Linked DNA regions of Rhinolophus ferrumequinum. The protein of the gene in region 1 interacts with the protein of each later gene in a biochemical or structural test. Links are inferred from orthologs where the notes say so. Each region holds a gene or a part of one and is shown in the gene's direction. Other genes may lie near its edges.

The links.
Region 2: the proteins of TOM1 (region 1) and TOLLIP form a complex in vitro, tested with the Homo sapiens proteins (3 studies listed by BioGRID and IntAct, with this or other methods). The link is inferred for Rhinolophus ferrumequinum from reciprocal best matches to the Homo sapiens genes TOM1 and TOLLIP.

Annotation. Positions count from the first base shown.
Region 1 is NC_046293.1:11,036,237-11,043,473, reverse strand, and holds the start of TOM1 (target of Myb1 membrane trafficking protein), read left to right. Parts: upstream 1-4,232; 5' UTR 4,233-4,453; coding exon 4,454-4,505; intron 4,506-7,237.
Region 2 is NC_046294.1:836,189-843,328, reverse strand, and holds the start of TOLLIP (toll-interacting protein), read left to right. Parts: upstream 1-4,121; 5' UTR 4,122-4,259; coding exon 4,260-4,292; intron 4,293-7,140. UniProt on the Homo sapiens protein: Component of the signaling pathway of IL-1 and Toll-like receptors. Inhibits cell activation by microbial products. Recruits IRAK1 to the IL-1 receptor complex. Inhibits IRAK1 phosphorylation and kinase activity.

The DNA of each region.
Region 1 (7,237 bases):
TTTTGTGAGCCCTGGCAACATAAAACACCTTGGAGACGGCAAAGCTGTCAGTGCCACCAGTTGAACTGCATATATTGTGAGTTGACCCAGAATCTTTGGTCTGCAGAACGAAGAGCTGGTATCTTCCATTGGCAGCATTCGCTTAGCCGCCAAGTCTTCACAGGTCCCGCTGCTAGTTGCTTGGTGGCTGTGGATGATGAACTTCGCCCGGCGGGATTCTTGGGTCCATCTCATTGGCTCCCCTGGGGGGCAGATACACCGTGTTCTACATACCACACATGAGTGAATTGCAAAAAATAGTACTCGATTCTCACGTAGGTTTATTTATGCGCGTGTGTGAATGTGTGTTTTAATTATGTGTATTTAACTCTTTAAAATCTTAGATTTTAATTTATCCTGTAAATTTCTGTACATATAATTTAATAACAAAAGCCTCCACCAGCAACAGCATGTGGAAGATACAGACTTGTTAATTTCTTCCCCCCTTCCTTCCTCTGGCCTCCTCTGAAAACTCCCATCTGCATTTTAAGGTATCATGCCTCAACAAGGTATCATTATGTAAGGATTCTAATTCCTTATAATTCAATAATGTCAAGAAAGTAAAATAAAATGGAATGTTTCCCTTCCCAGCTGCCCGTATTTCCAAAGAACCAGACTTTTGCTTCCTAGTCCCAAAGAAGACAGTTGAGCGCTTCAGGGTTGTTTTTAAATGTGGTGTGAGATTCCCTGCCAACACCCAGCTCTGAGGTAACTGTGCTTCCTTCCTGGGGCCTGGATGGAGCTCCACAGCATCGAGGTGGATCATTGCGGACAGGGCAGCTACGCTGCATCTTACTTAACTCCTTCCCTTCTCCCGACCGGTGGGGTCACCGGGCTGTTTCCTAAAGGTATTCTTGCTGCTAAATGCCTTTCTCAGCTCAGAGCAGTTCTGAGTTTTAATGGGGGAAACAGAAGGAAACAAGAATGTCTGGGAACCAAAATCAAGAAAAACAGAAATCTTGTTTTGATTTCGTGTGTTAGAACTTGTACCACGCCTCATCTGTACCCCTGGAAGTTTCCTGTTTGACACAGGGTGTGAAGGAGGGGCCTTGGAGACATGGATTAATACGGAAAGAAGGCCAGTCCTACCATTGTCATTTGAACACATTAATGAAATCCTGATGAGGACCTGTTTTTTGTTTGTTTTCCTTTAAAATCCAATCCTATTGTATTTGTATTTAAAATTTGTACACATTTGTATAATAATCTGTATCTTGTGGTATTTGGTACTATTAGAGGAAAAACTTTGGATTCAGACCTTGCAGTTTTTATATCATTGTTTTATTTTGTTTTTTAAATAAATTCTAGCGGTTTGATCCAAACTCCATTACAGTTGTATAAAGAAATAAAATTTTGTACTTATATTATTAAAAATCACATTTTTAATATTTGTAGTCCAGTCTCAGCTATCTTTTCCCTGCTGCCAACCAAAGTTGCTCCAAAATTGTAAAACCTGTTTTCCACACTATATCCTACCATAATTATCTTAAAAAGAAAAAACCCATCTAGAATAGAGGTCAAGTTTCTGATCTTAGCCATTTTCCTAACATACACCTTCCTCTGTTTCTATTAATATTAACTCTGACGTTGTGGAATCTCTCATGTTCTCTCTTTCGCAGATTGCAAGCCCAGTGACTCTGATAAAGTGTAGTTCTGTTCACTGGCAAATAAAATAGTATGTACATTACAGTGTTCGCCTAGCTCAAGAAAATATTCATCTGTAAGGTTCACATCTGAATCATGTACTTAATGTGATATATTTCACACAGTTTCAGCACTGTCCTAACTTGGTGGTATTGGATAAGTCACGTAATCTTTATAGGTGTCCTAAGTCACATCTGTAAAAGAGTGTTCATGTCACTTCCTTGTCTCCAAGCCAGCAGCCAGCCAACCTGACATGAATGTTTAGAACTATTGTGAACATTTAATATATGGAAATTTGACCTTTTTCAAGGTAAAAATTTCAATGCAAACAAGGTGTTACTAGTCATAAAGTGAAATATTATGATTGAAAGGCTAACGTACAGAGAGGCAGCAAGAAAGACATCACCATATTGCTGAATACTATTATAGAGAATGACTTGCATATTTTCTCTCACTTAATCCTCCCAAAAGCCTTTTGAGTATTATCCCCCTTTACAAATAAAGATGCAGAAAAGTACTTTCCCTAAGGTTATACAGCTAGTAGTAGACGGTAGCGCCAGAATAAGCACACTGTTCAAACTGACCCCAAAGCCTAGGCTCTCTTCTACCCAAAGCCACTTATGTAATCCATCAGAATCCTCCGTTATCTACAGTACTGAGTGATTGTAGGAAAACTATCTGAGACTGTTTCTTTGTTCAAATGCCCTTTTGTCCTAGGTGGATTTTACGATAGAGGCCTCACTTTCTTGTCATACTATTGTCTTTAAACTTTATTGGCAAAGTATCTTGATTTTTGTCTAGTAGCACTTACTGGATATGATAGATGACATTGCATTTAAGCAATATGTCAGTCTTAAGGGACGTAAGCATTTTTCCCTTTGAAGGTAAAAGGAAGGCATTTGATATTCATAAAACACTTAAAAGGTAAAATTAAAATGGATTTTTTACTAAATGACTGTTCCTTGCAAAAAATTTTTAAACATACTTTTAATCAGTTTTGTACTAAATATTTTCCATTTATATTCCTATCGTTTGTGTTGACAAAATCCACACACTTCCATTTCTAACTGAATAGATACACAGTATTCTGTTTGCATGGAGTTAAGATGATTTTACTCCGCTTGGGGGGTATGTGGGTTGTTTCTGCTTTTTTACTATGAAGGATAAAACTTACAGTGGTTTTATTCTTGGCAGTAAAGCCAAGATCTTTTGCCCATAATCACTTTAAACCAGAGTGATGCAGGAAAGCAGGAACTTCTGGTAAATCACCACCCAAAATAATGGAAGAAGCCAAAGGAAGTTCATGCTAAATATACGCCATACAACCAAGCAATATTCTTAAAGGAAGAAAAATATGTATGTTACCTGACATGACGTTCATCTTAAAGGTACGTGCCCCCCTCCCATAGTCCAAATACCATTATTGAAAGGTAGATGATTTAAATTTTCTTGTTAGTCATTGTGCTAGACAATAGTGGTGAGGAAAGGAGACATAGTATCCCAGCCCTCATGGAGCATCTAGACTAGTGGGGGGGAGGGCATTTATTAAAAGGATGGGCATTATTAAAACACTTCAAAGCACAGGAGTACGTGACTCCCATAAAGTTTTTATATTGTGCATTAAAGATGTCAGCCCTCAAACAGGTTGACATCTGTTAAACACGTTAACACACAGAAGTGATTAAGTTCTAATTTAGGTTTTCCATCCTAAATTTGTGCACAATTTAATAGGCTTTCAAATTTAAGAATCACAAACATCGTGGTCAGTAAATACTAAAGCCACTAACTACCAAAGCAGTGGTTATTGTATCTTCTGGTGTGCGTGTCAGAAGAAAAAAAACAACCAATAGGTCAGATCTAATGTGCAGGCAACATCTGAAACATGGCAGGACAGGAAGGTTTAAGGAGATACTAGAATCACAAAGCTGGGGAAGGCCTTTGGAATCTTAATTCTTGAGGTCCACAGCTGTACTTCGGCGACCCCAGAAACTCCCTGAAGTTAAATTGTGTCTCTGCCTTTTCTCTTCAGAAAGGCTCATGGCTTCAAATTCTCAAAGGAGCCTGTGACCTAAAAAAATCAGAGTCCTCGATCTAATTCCAGCATCCAGAGAAAAATGGAAACTCACTGCTTGAATCACACAGTAAATGGCAGAGACGTGCCCTGCTCGTGGCTACATCTGTGTGCTTTCTACCACCCTGGGCTCTAGCCCGTCCCAAGTTGGAATTCATTGAGTTGTCTCTCTGTCAAAGGATCTCAAACCCCTGGACCTCGACCTCAGATAGGAAGAGTTCTACCAAGGCAAGGAGACAACCGGCCAAAGAGGCGTCAACCCCAGCGGAAGGTGAGGTCCCAAGAGCTAAAACACGTAAGAGTGAGAACTGTAGTCTGGGCTTGCTCTGCAACCTTCCCCAAGTCATTTCTCTGGTCTGGGACCCGGTTTTCCCGGTGTGTTAAGAGATCACTAGGCCACGCCCCTAAACCTTAGAAAACGTCGAGGGCGTGGCTTAAAGGTCCAAGCTCTTTACCGCGCTACGCTGTGCGTGACGTCCGCCGACACCGAGTAAGCCGCAGTGAGGTCACCGCCCTCCTTCTCAGTGATCCCGACCCTCCTTCTCAGGGGCGGGGCCTGTGGCCACGCTCCAGACTCCCTCCGCCCTGCCCCCACCGGCGCCACCTCGCGGACCATCCGGCGCGTCACGTGACGGGTCGAAGGCGCTGGCGGTTGCTGTCAGCTGATTCCACGGGTTGGTGGCAGCGGCAGCCGCAACGATGGACTTTCTCCTGGGGAACCCATTCAGCTCTCCGGTGGGACAGCGCATCGGTGAGTCCCTGGAGTCTCGGCCAACCCCGACGCAGGGCTTCGCGCCCGGCCTCGGTCCCCGCGGGGCTCACCCACGTCCCCAGTCACACACCGGAGGGAGGCAGGGAAGGGGAACGCGCCTGGCGCGTCTCTCCGAGACTTGGCCCCGCCCAGTCTCCCGCCCATCTTGATTGACAAAAGCCTTGGTCCATTAGGGAGCCTCGGATTGTGATGGATACCTGTCACAGCCAATAGACAAAGAGAGAGGGCGGGTCCGCCCGCGGCTCAGCCAATGCGCGGCTGCTGGGGTCGCGAATACAGGGAGAAAGTTTAGACGGTTAAAGGGACTGCCAGCTTTCGCAGTCCTTGGGGTGTTCCATTTTTTACCTCTGCGCGTTCCCAGCTGGGGTCGCGCAGCCTGGGCTCTTGCCGTCTCCTTCCTGAGTTGCCAGGCTTTCCGGATACGGATACCTGAGAAGGGCTAGAAGTTCATTCTCCCAGGATCAGAGCTGGGCGTCTGGGCAGCTCTTCTCTGGCAGTCCTCAGCCACCAGCGTCAGCTCTCCCGCATAGAGTTGCCGGCGCTCCGAGCTGCAGTGATCTTAGAAACCACCTGATGGGGCCTCCTTTATTTCTCAGTAGCTCGGACAGCCCAGCACTCTGGCCAGAGACACAGGCTTACTCAGAGCCCAGGTCTCCTGACTCTCTTACCCCCTGTTGACGGGACACGTACTAGTTCAGTGACGCTGCCTCTCTGTGCCGATGTTTCCTTCCCTGTAATTAGCGGATAATAAAGGTCCCTACCTCCGTGGGGTTGTTGTGAAGATTAAACTCATTAATAAATGTAAAGTACTTAGAACAGTGCCTGCCAATGTTCTATAAAAGACAGTGGTAATATTTATTGTCAGTGTTACTGAGATGCCACCAAGGGAGGCTCGGGAGTCCCTGCAAACGGCGAGGTCGTAGCTCTCATAGGTACTCAGTCCTGCCTGCACCACGGGAGGACCCACGGGCCCTCCCAAACAGCTCACACTTCTCCAGGGAGTCTGGCTTTGTCTCCGTCTTTCATGAGGAAACCGCAGGCAGTACTGTGAAATCCTCTCTTCATCTTTTTTGATAGTTTAAAGCCTGAAACCCAGGTTGGGAAAATTGGATCTTTTAAATAAGACATTCTTTCCATTCTTAAATGTCTTGGAAGCCAAGCCTAACTTAAGTCTGTCAGCCCAGCTCTGTGTTGTAATTGTCACCGTGGCTGTTTGTGGCTCTTCTGAGGTTTTGTAATCAAATCTCTCCAACAGGGGTGTGGCCGTAGAGGATTTACAAATCACCAGGAAGCTCCTGGACCCAAGAGGGGAAGCTGTCCTCTCAGGACCACCAACACCCACCCCCTGCGGCTCCCCCACACCACACACACACACACACACACACACACACACACCCGGGTCATTGTTTTAGAGCTGAAAAGAAGGTAGCTCTCCTTTCATCTTTCTTTCTTCAGCTACAGATACCACTGCTTTCATCACATGCCAAGTTTGAGACTTAACTACTTAAAACAAAACTCTGCCCTTCTAAGTCAGCCTATAAATACCTGAGGCTTTCTTGAAAAGCTCACCTGAACTCTGGGCCTCAGATGGTCAAAGAAAACAGCTTCTCTTTTTACCCTGAAAGGGTTGCCTGCCTTGGGTAAGAAATACTCTGTCCAAAGAGAATGCTACTAAATCATAATACATTAGAGCACAAACCAAGTTTCACTGCTGGAAGGGTCCTTACCCCGGGGCTCTTCTAACCTAAAGTTCTCCTCTGAATCCCCTGGAGATCTTATTAAAGCACCGCAGGCTGGGCCCCACCCCCAGAGCTTCTGACTCTACAGGTGTGGGGTGGAGGCCTAGAATTGGTATTGTTAACAAGTTCCCAGGGGATTCTAATGCCACTGGATTGGAAACTGCATATTGAAAACCTGTTTCAGTCCATCGTCTTCATTTTACGAAGGAAAATGAGGCCCAGAGAGGGGAAGCTAGAGACTGTGACTCACCCAGGACCCCGGTGAAATGATAGGAAAGATGAGATGAACTCCCCAGAGCCACTGAACTTTAGAGCAGAAGAAGCTCTAAAAGTAGAATTAAATGAAGAATATCTGCCCTCGGTATTCCATATTTTTCTTTTAGATAAAGAGGCGGAAGTACCACCGATTGGCTGTGATTATTGATGACCTAATATTAGCGGCTCGTATTTCTATAAACTACCCGAGTACAATAATCTCAAGCCTGCCAACTCCATCCCTTAGTGAGGGTAGAGCCCTGTAGACTTGATGTCCCTGAACTCAGTGGATTCTGACGCTGTGTTGGGAGGTTGTTGTGTTGTGTTATGAAACATGTGCCCTGGTACCTGCCAGACAGTAAGTGTCCATAATCGTTAGCCATTGTGATTTTTCACTGGTGTGATCATCATTGCTGGGGCACACTCTAAGTTAGTGGCAGAGCCAAGGTGCCAACCAGGGCCCTGATTGCAGTGCAGCCTCTGTGTTGGTCGCGGCATCATTGGGAACGAGCAGTGACTGGCCGGCTGGCAGCCATATTCACAGACAGGTCAGGTTTCAGGCTGTGGGGTGGAACCGGTTCTCACTGGGGAATTAGAGCCTTTGACTGGCCCTACAGCTAGAACTGGTAAATAGGTTTTGTGAATAGGTTTTGTTCCCTCACTGAGTCAAAGAAATAAGAGTCAAGTCCCGGATTTCCGCCCTTTTGGATTTAGAAA
Region 2 (7,140 bases), on another chromosome or scaffold:
CTGTTCACTCGTCTGTCTGGTTTCCTCTTTCCTCGTGACTTGTGGGAAGCGTTTATGTCGTGGGTACCGATTACCTGGTGTTAGACGTGGTAAGTGTTTCACCCTTCCCCTCTGTTACCTCCGTCTCTAACGTAGGCAACAGAAGCTCGGCTGCCATTGGATAGTAGTGTGACTTAAATGACACAGTATGTGTAAAGCACTTACAATGACACCCGGCAAGATGAAGCACTCAGACATGTGGCTCATGTCAACTATTATTCAAGGACCCCAAGTAACAGGTGCACAGAATGCCCATCCAGGGCTCTGGGTGCGTAGGGTGCTCCGTGACCACTGGCCTGTGCCATTATGAGCTGGAGCCCAGACACAGGAAGGGTGAGGGCAGTGGGACTCCCATAACAACGTGGAAATGGACTGGACTCGGTGATGACTGCACAAGTGGTGACATCACTCAGGTGACACACAGGGTTGGGTGTCTGAATGTTGGCACCGGGTCTCAGAGAATGTAGGCAATGAGTTGGAGGAACCAGTGTTGAAGTTAGGGTTCCCTTTATAGTCGACTCTCAGCAGAAATACACTGGGCTGGACCCCTGGCCTCCAGCATTGTTTCTTCTTTAATTCTCCTGCCAAACGTGTCTTCTCTGCCCAGCTCTGTGGCCATACGGTTCGTCCTCAAAGCTCCGTGGTGTCGGCTCATTGTTACACCTTGCGGTGGCCCCAACGCCCACTCTAGGTTTGAAACCCCCTTCTCTGGCCCACCTAACTCCCATTTTCTCACCAGCTCCCTCTGCCTTTCTCAGGGATATTTGGTCAGTGCCCCGAGTGTCAGGTCGCCCTGGTATGTAGAACACCTTTATCCTGCGCTTGGCTCACCGAGCGGCTCTCGTCATCATACCTGTTACCTCCCAACTCCTCAACTCCTGCTCAGTGCTTCTCAACAGATCAGAGAGGGCGGTGACAGCTTTTCTTGGCTGTATCCTTTCCAAACATGGCATAGATTATTGAATTCATCAAGTATTGATTGGATCAATTCCATCAGAAATTGCTTTTTTGTTTGGTGTTAAGGTAGGGGTCTGATTTAAGTTTTTCTGTAAGTGTAGCCAATTGTTTTAGCCCATTGATTGAAAGTAATTCCTGTCCCAACTGCTCGGCAGTGCCAGCACCCTCATAAATCAAGTATCTGTATTTCATCTCACTGGTAAATTTGTCTATCCCCATGTCAGTATCAGTCTCAATTACTGTAGTCTCATAAGACATTTTTATTTCTCCTACGACAGTTCCTTTCCATCTCCTCCTCCTCCTTCTAGAATGTGTCAGTTATTGTTTTGTTCTTTCGCATTCATTTCAGAATCAGCTTGTTAAATTTCTTCGAAAAACCCTTTTGGAGTTTTAATGAAAATTTCTTCTGTAGGACAATTTGGGGGAGAAGTGACAGATCTGAGACGTCCTGTCCATGAATACGGTATGTAGTTCTCATTTTATTCAGGTCTCCTTCAATAACGTTTTATAACGTTAACACTTTTGCTCACTTTTTAAGAAGTTTTGTGTCCCTTCTATTCTTTCGTTGCTCTTTTCAATGGTATTTTACAAAACTGAATCCTTTGGTTATTGCTGGTAACTAGATGCATGTGCAGAAGTGTCTCCATTTGCCCTCCCTCCCAGGTCCACGCTCCACCTTTCTCTGCCTCTCTCTGTGCCCCGAGGAGCTGACGTCTACAGGCTGCACCACTGGGCTGTGTTCAGGGGAGACACTGTAGGAGGAGACAGGTCGGAATGCCTCTTCCTCAGACCCCACCTGCAAGCCTGCGGTTTGGCAGGTGGCCTCCTCCCTCTGCATGGCCCACACGTCAGCCCAGGATGCCTTTTCCTGGCTACTGCTGCCTCTCTGTCCTTTTAAGACCAGGAGTGGTAGTGGCTTCCTGAAGCTCAAATTTCCTCCACGCTTCAGTGTCTTGCTTGTTCACTTAACTCTGCCCTTCCCTTATAAACAGTCCGTTTATTAAAATTCCTCCAATTATCTTTCTGAGCATGCCATCTGTTTCTTGCTGGGACCCTGACTGATACAGTAATTGCCACCATAAGTGTCCCCAGAAACCGACTCTCCTAATAGGATTCTAGAATTGGGTTGCTTATATATTTGATGAGCATGTGGATAAAATCCTTGCCAGAGGGAAGTCGAGCCCTGGGGATCTGTGTCATGCAGTGGTATCCCAATCCCTCAAATGATCTCCAGCGGTGGCCTGGGACGTGGCGCATGTGGAGGGCGGACAGATGGGAGGTCAAGAGGCTGAGACACTGAGCTGCTTTGGCAAAATGGTGATGACACAGATTGTGCCGTGGGCTGTTTACTTCAGAAGACTCTGGGAAGTGGACACAGAGGAAAAGGACAATTCAAGCCTTGGGTGTGTCAATGCTGTCCCGTCAGACCACCGGGAACACACCTGTAACTCAACAGGGTGGGACTGTCACTCATTGCAGCAAAGGACAGCACACACCGCAGGGAAGCACAGGGTGACGTGTCAGAGGGCATTAGAAAGGATCTGGGCTTCTGTCAGTGATTATGGGGGAGCTTTGAGCAAGCAGGGTTCTGCTCTGGATCAGGTGCTGTCAGAAGCAGGGGTAGCCTTCTTCATTCTTACCTAGGAGGGAAGACTAGGGGAAGGCTCAAGCTGGAGTTGGTAAGCAGCAACAGCCATACCAGCCAGGAAAGGAGATGTTAGTCTTTTGGCGTGGAGGCTGTCATGTCGTCTGTGTTCACACATGACCAAGGAGCCATCATGGCTTTGTATTGATGCACTGTGGTCACAGTGGCCCCGACTGCTCTGATGTTTTGTGAAACTGCTTATGTTCAACAAAACAGAAGGACCAGCAGAAGGCAGGCCTTTTGCACTTCCTTCTCTGATGGAAAATAAGTCTCTACGGAGGGGAACCTGGAACGAGTGGTGGAAGAAGGAAGCTACGATCGTCAACCTGGGCCTCATCACAAGTACAGAAGATGGAGAAGCTGCAGACATAGCTTCTGTTTTTTCGGTCATTTCCCCTAACAAGGGGCATTGGTAGGTAACGCTTCAGTCCTTGCTTCACTAAAGACTTAGACGACATCACCCATGAAGATAAGGTCGTGCACGGGGCCTTGTTTCTCCTGCCCTGAACACCCATCTTCCCGAGGCCTGTGAAGCACGGCAGCCCACAGTCACCTCTCCTTTAGCTTGACTCCCACTTTTACAAAGTATACATGCAAGTGCTCCTCCCCCCGGAGGATTTTGGGTCAATCAAGGGCTTTCGTTCTCTGGCCCCTCAATCCACAATCCCCCTCACCGGGGAGGCTTGCACATTGGCAGGAGGCTGTCCATCCGTGGCTGGTATCGGGACCCTCCTTCTCTGCTCGTTGATACCAAGGTACAGAATCTCCTCCAAGAGCCTGGCGCTGCCCCTGGCCCCGCTCAGTGGTCTGTCATCGTGACCAGAGGCCCTCGGTGGAGGGAGGGTCACTGGCGCCCCCAGGCCCCCCCTCCCAGCAGCAGGCCCTCCTCCCTGATGACTCCCGGGTAAGGCCCCCCTGTTGTTACGTAACAGCTTTGCTGCCCGACTCACACAGGGGCCGCTACCATGGCACTGGCTTTTGCGAAGAGAAAGAGCAGTGACTGAACGCTCAGTCGGCTCGCAGGACACCGGAGGTCCCACTCAGATCTGTCGGGGTGCAGCTGGAGGTCAAAGGTCTCTCCTCTGCCCACGCCTGGGTGGCACGTCTTGCGGTTTGGTCTCCTGTCCCTGAAAGGCAACTCAGTGTCTTGTTAGCACCAGGACAGGCTCATTTGGGGCTGGTTGCGTTTACTGTCCCTGCGCCCGGGTCCAGCCGAAGGCCCAGGGTGGGGAGGGCCACTGAGGCTTCCCGGCGCCGCCAGGAGACCCGCTCAGCAGACCCCACAGTCCGTGCGGTCGGGGGGCCGCTCAGCCTGCGCACCTGCCGCGGGACCGCCTAGGATGCCCACCGCGCACTCCGGAGCCATTTCGGGCGGCCGCGGCGGGGAGCAACTGCGCAGGCGTCCGCCGGCACGGCGCGTGCGTGCGTGCGCGGCGCCGGAAGGGGCGGGGCTGCGCGGCGCCTGCGCAGTGCGCGGCGCGGGGCGGGGTGGCCGTCAGCTGACTGTGGCGGCGGCGGCGGCGGCCTCGCTGGGGACAACCGTCGGCGTCGCAGGCTCCGGCGGAGGGTCGCCGGCACGTCAGCTCTCGTTGGGCGAGGCGCGGGCCGGCGCAGCACCATGGCGACCACCGTCAGCACGCAGCGCGGGCCGGTGAGACCCCGGGCGGACGGCGGGCGGGCGGGCTCTCCCCTCAGGGCGCGGGCGGCGGTGCGCGTCCGTGGCCTCCGGGGCTCTCGGGGAGGCCCGACCACGGGCTCCGGGCTCCGGGGTGCGGCCCCCCGGTGCAGGAGGCCCTCACCAGGGTGGGCCCCCGGGAGGGAGGAAGCCCCCAGGCCCGGAAGGTCCCTCGGGTGGAGGACGCCCCGCCAGGGCCGGTCCGCCGAACGGAGGCGTCTCCTGCGCCCTGTGGCCTCCCCGGCACAGGAGTCTCCCGAAGTCCTAGTCGGTACCCCGGATGGAAGCGGCCCCCGCGCCCTGGTGGGTCCCGGATGGAGGAGGCTCCTGCGCCAGGGGCGGGTCCCCGGATGGGGACGGACCCTCGCCGGGGCCGGTTCCCCAAATGGAGAGCGCCCCCGCCCCGGGCCTAGACCGTCCCCCACGGAGGAGGCCCCGAGCCACGGACTCCGCCCGCTTCCCCTCCCTCGCGGGGGCAGAGGGAGGCCCCCGGGCCCAGCTGTGTCCCTAAGTGGCCACTTATCGCAGCCTCAGTTCCTTCCTTTGCAAACGAGAGGACGGGAGCTCAGGACCGCGGGCGGCCCTTCCCACCCGCGCTGTCTCCGGGGCTCCCGTCGGTCTCCACGGCCCGCGCGCTGCCCTGGAGAGCCGGTGTAGACGCGCCCTGGGACGGGGCCGCGCGCAGCTCTGGCAGGCGGGGTGGGGGCGCGTTGTCACGCGCCGGGAAGTTTTTATGGGCAGCGGCTCAAAATGTGCAGTAGACAGACGTTCCCTTTACGTGGGGAACGTTGTCCCGTGATGCCACCGTTGCCCTCACTCAGTCGCTCTGCCTGTAAAGCCCAGTCGCCCGCGCCTGCCCCTCGGCCCTAGGACGGGATGTTGACAAACGCTGGTGGCGGTTGTCCTGACTAGAGGAGAATCTTTTCCAGAGAGTATCTTTTCTGAGTGACGAAGACCCAGGTTCTGTTAGAAGTCCTGAGGGCTTTGCGTTGGACGTGACACACACACCGGGTTTCTCTGGAACCGGCCCCCAGGCGGCAGAGAGGTTTCCGGATTCCCTCTGCCTTTGAGCAGAGGGACGGTTCCCCTCTCCCCGTCCTCCCTCCACAGTGACTTACGGCGGGCTGACAGCCAGCCGGTTCTCATTGCTGCACAGCCGGCTGGTCAGAGAAGCAAGGGAACCAAACGAGCCGCTCCCTTCTCCGCGTCCCCCAGGGAGCAGTGGGCGCAGGGGGCCTGACCTGTCCCGTGTCCTCACCCACCTGGTGCGGACCTCGCTGGTGGTGAGTGTGAACGTGCGGTGCGGGGCGCAGTGGCCAGAAGTGCGCTCTCAGTAAGGGTCGGCCCCCCTGTGCGGAGCAGCGGTCGGCGCGGGGACTGCACAGAGCTGGGGCAGCTGGCACCACGGGACAGCAGCTGCGGGGTCGGGCGTTCCCGTCCCGCACGTGGGGCCTGGGCCGTCAGAGGTTCTGTCCCTCTTGCCATGTGTACCGTGCTTCCCGGCCTGTTCTCTGTAACAGGCGAGTGGCCTTATGTCCATGTGTTGGTGTGCAGCGCACATAGACCTGCAGATGTTTTCGGGGTGCTCTCCATGGCCTGTAAACACAGTAACGTTAGATCTGGGCCCGGCTGCTGGGGGCCTCCAGGAAGGTGTCCTCAGGGGCAAGGGTCTTGAGTGCCCCTGGAATACACGTGACTTACTCAGCCAGTGTTGCTGATCATGACATTTGGGACGAGCAGGTGCAGTGCCTGCCAGGGAGGGGGTGGGGGGTCTTACAGTGTGGCATGGGGAACCACTGGCACGCATAAGCAGGCAGACGAGCGCGGCGGGGATGGTCGCCGTCAGCTCTGTGGGTCTTAACTTAGGTATAAACAGTGGCCGGTCCTGGGCCGGGAGTTGGGGTGGGTAAAGTTCTTGGAGGGACCTGAGACAGGAATGAGCAGGACTTGTTAGACGAGGTGGGGTGTGGCGGGCTGCGGAAGGCCAAGAAGGGTCCTGAGGGCAGGGCCTGTGCCACTGTGAGAGAGGGACAGGCGGGGCCGGGCGCTGTTCCACATGGGAGGCCTGGGCTGGCAGATGGGTTTGCTCTGGAGTTTTATCTGCTCACTACAGTGTTACTTTTTTTAACAACATTTTTGCCTGGCACGCATCCTCGCGGAGACCTCCCTGGTAGCCAGGGTGCATGGACTCCATCCTGTCTGGGCCCTGCGTCCCTGTATGCTGGGTGCCGTGCAGGTAGACGGGTCAAGAAGCTGCAGTACCAGCTGGTGCTGGTAAAGGTAGCATTTGGCTGTGCTCACTGCCCTGGGTCCTGGCTGGGCAGCAGTCCTGAGGGAGCCCTGTGCCCTAGGGCCGTGTCCCTGCCTGAACAGGATGGGGTCAGCCCTGGCACAGGCTGCCCAGAGCCTGGACTCACTCACTGGGGCTGGCTCGGAAGCCTGACCTTGCCTCCCACTCCTGCTCCCGCGATAAAGGAGTGACAGGCAGAGTCCGTGGGACTGTGAGTGAGAAAGGGGAGTCACCAGGGAGGGAGGCTGAGGTGGCCCTTGTCCATGCTTGCTGCCCGTGGGGCGCCTGAGGGGTGGGTGAGATGGCGTGTGAGAAAAGGTGCCGCCCACGCTGAGCCGGCCTCACGCCTTCTGTCCTGCTTTCTCCCCGCAGCAGCTGATGGGCTTCTCTGCCTAAGGTTCAGCAGACGTGCTGTTTGTATCTCCAGGGTCACGTTTTCCCTTAATAGTCTGAGGATGGCCCAGCCCTGTGCTGTTTGCCCCACTTTTTAACAATGCTCGTAGTTTTCTAATGACAACCCTTTTCTACCCAGTG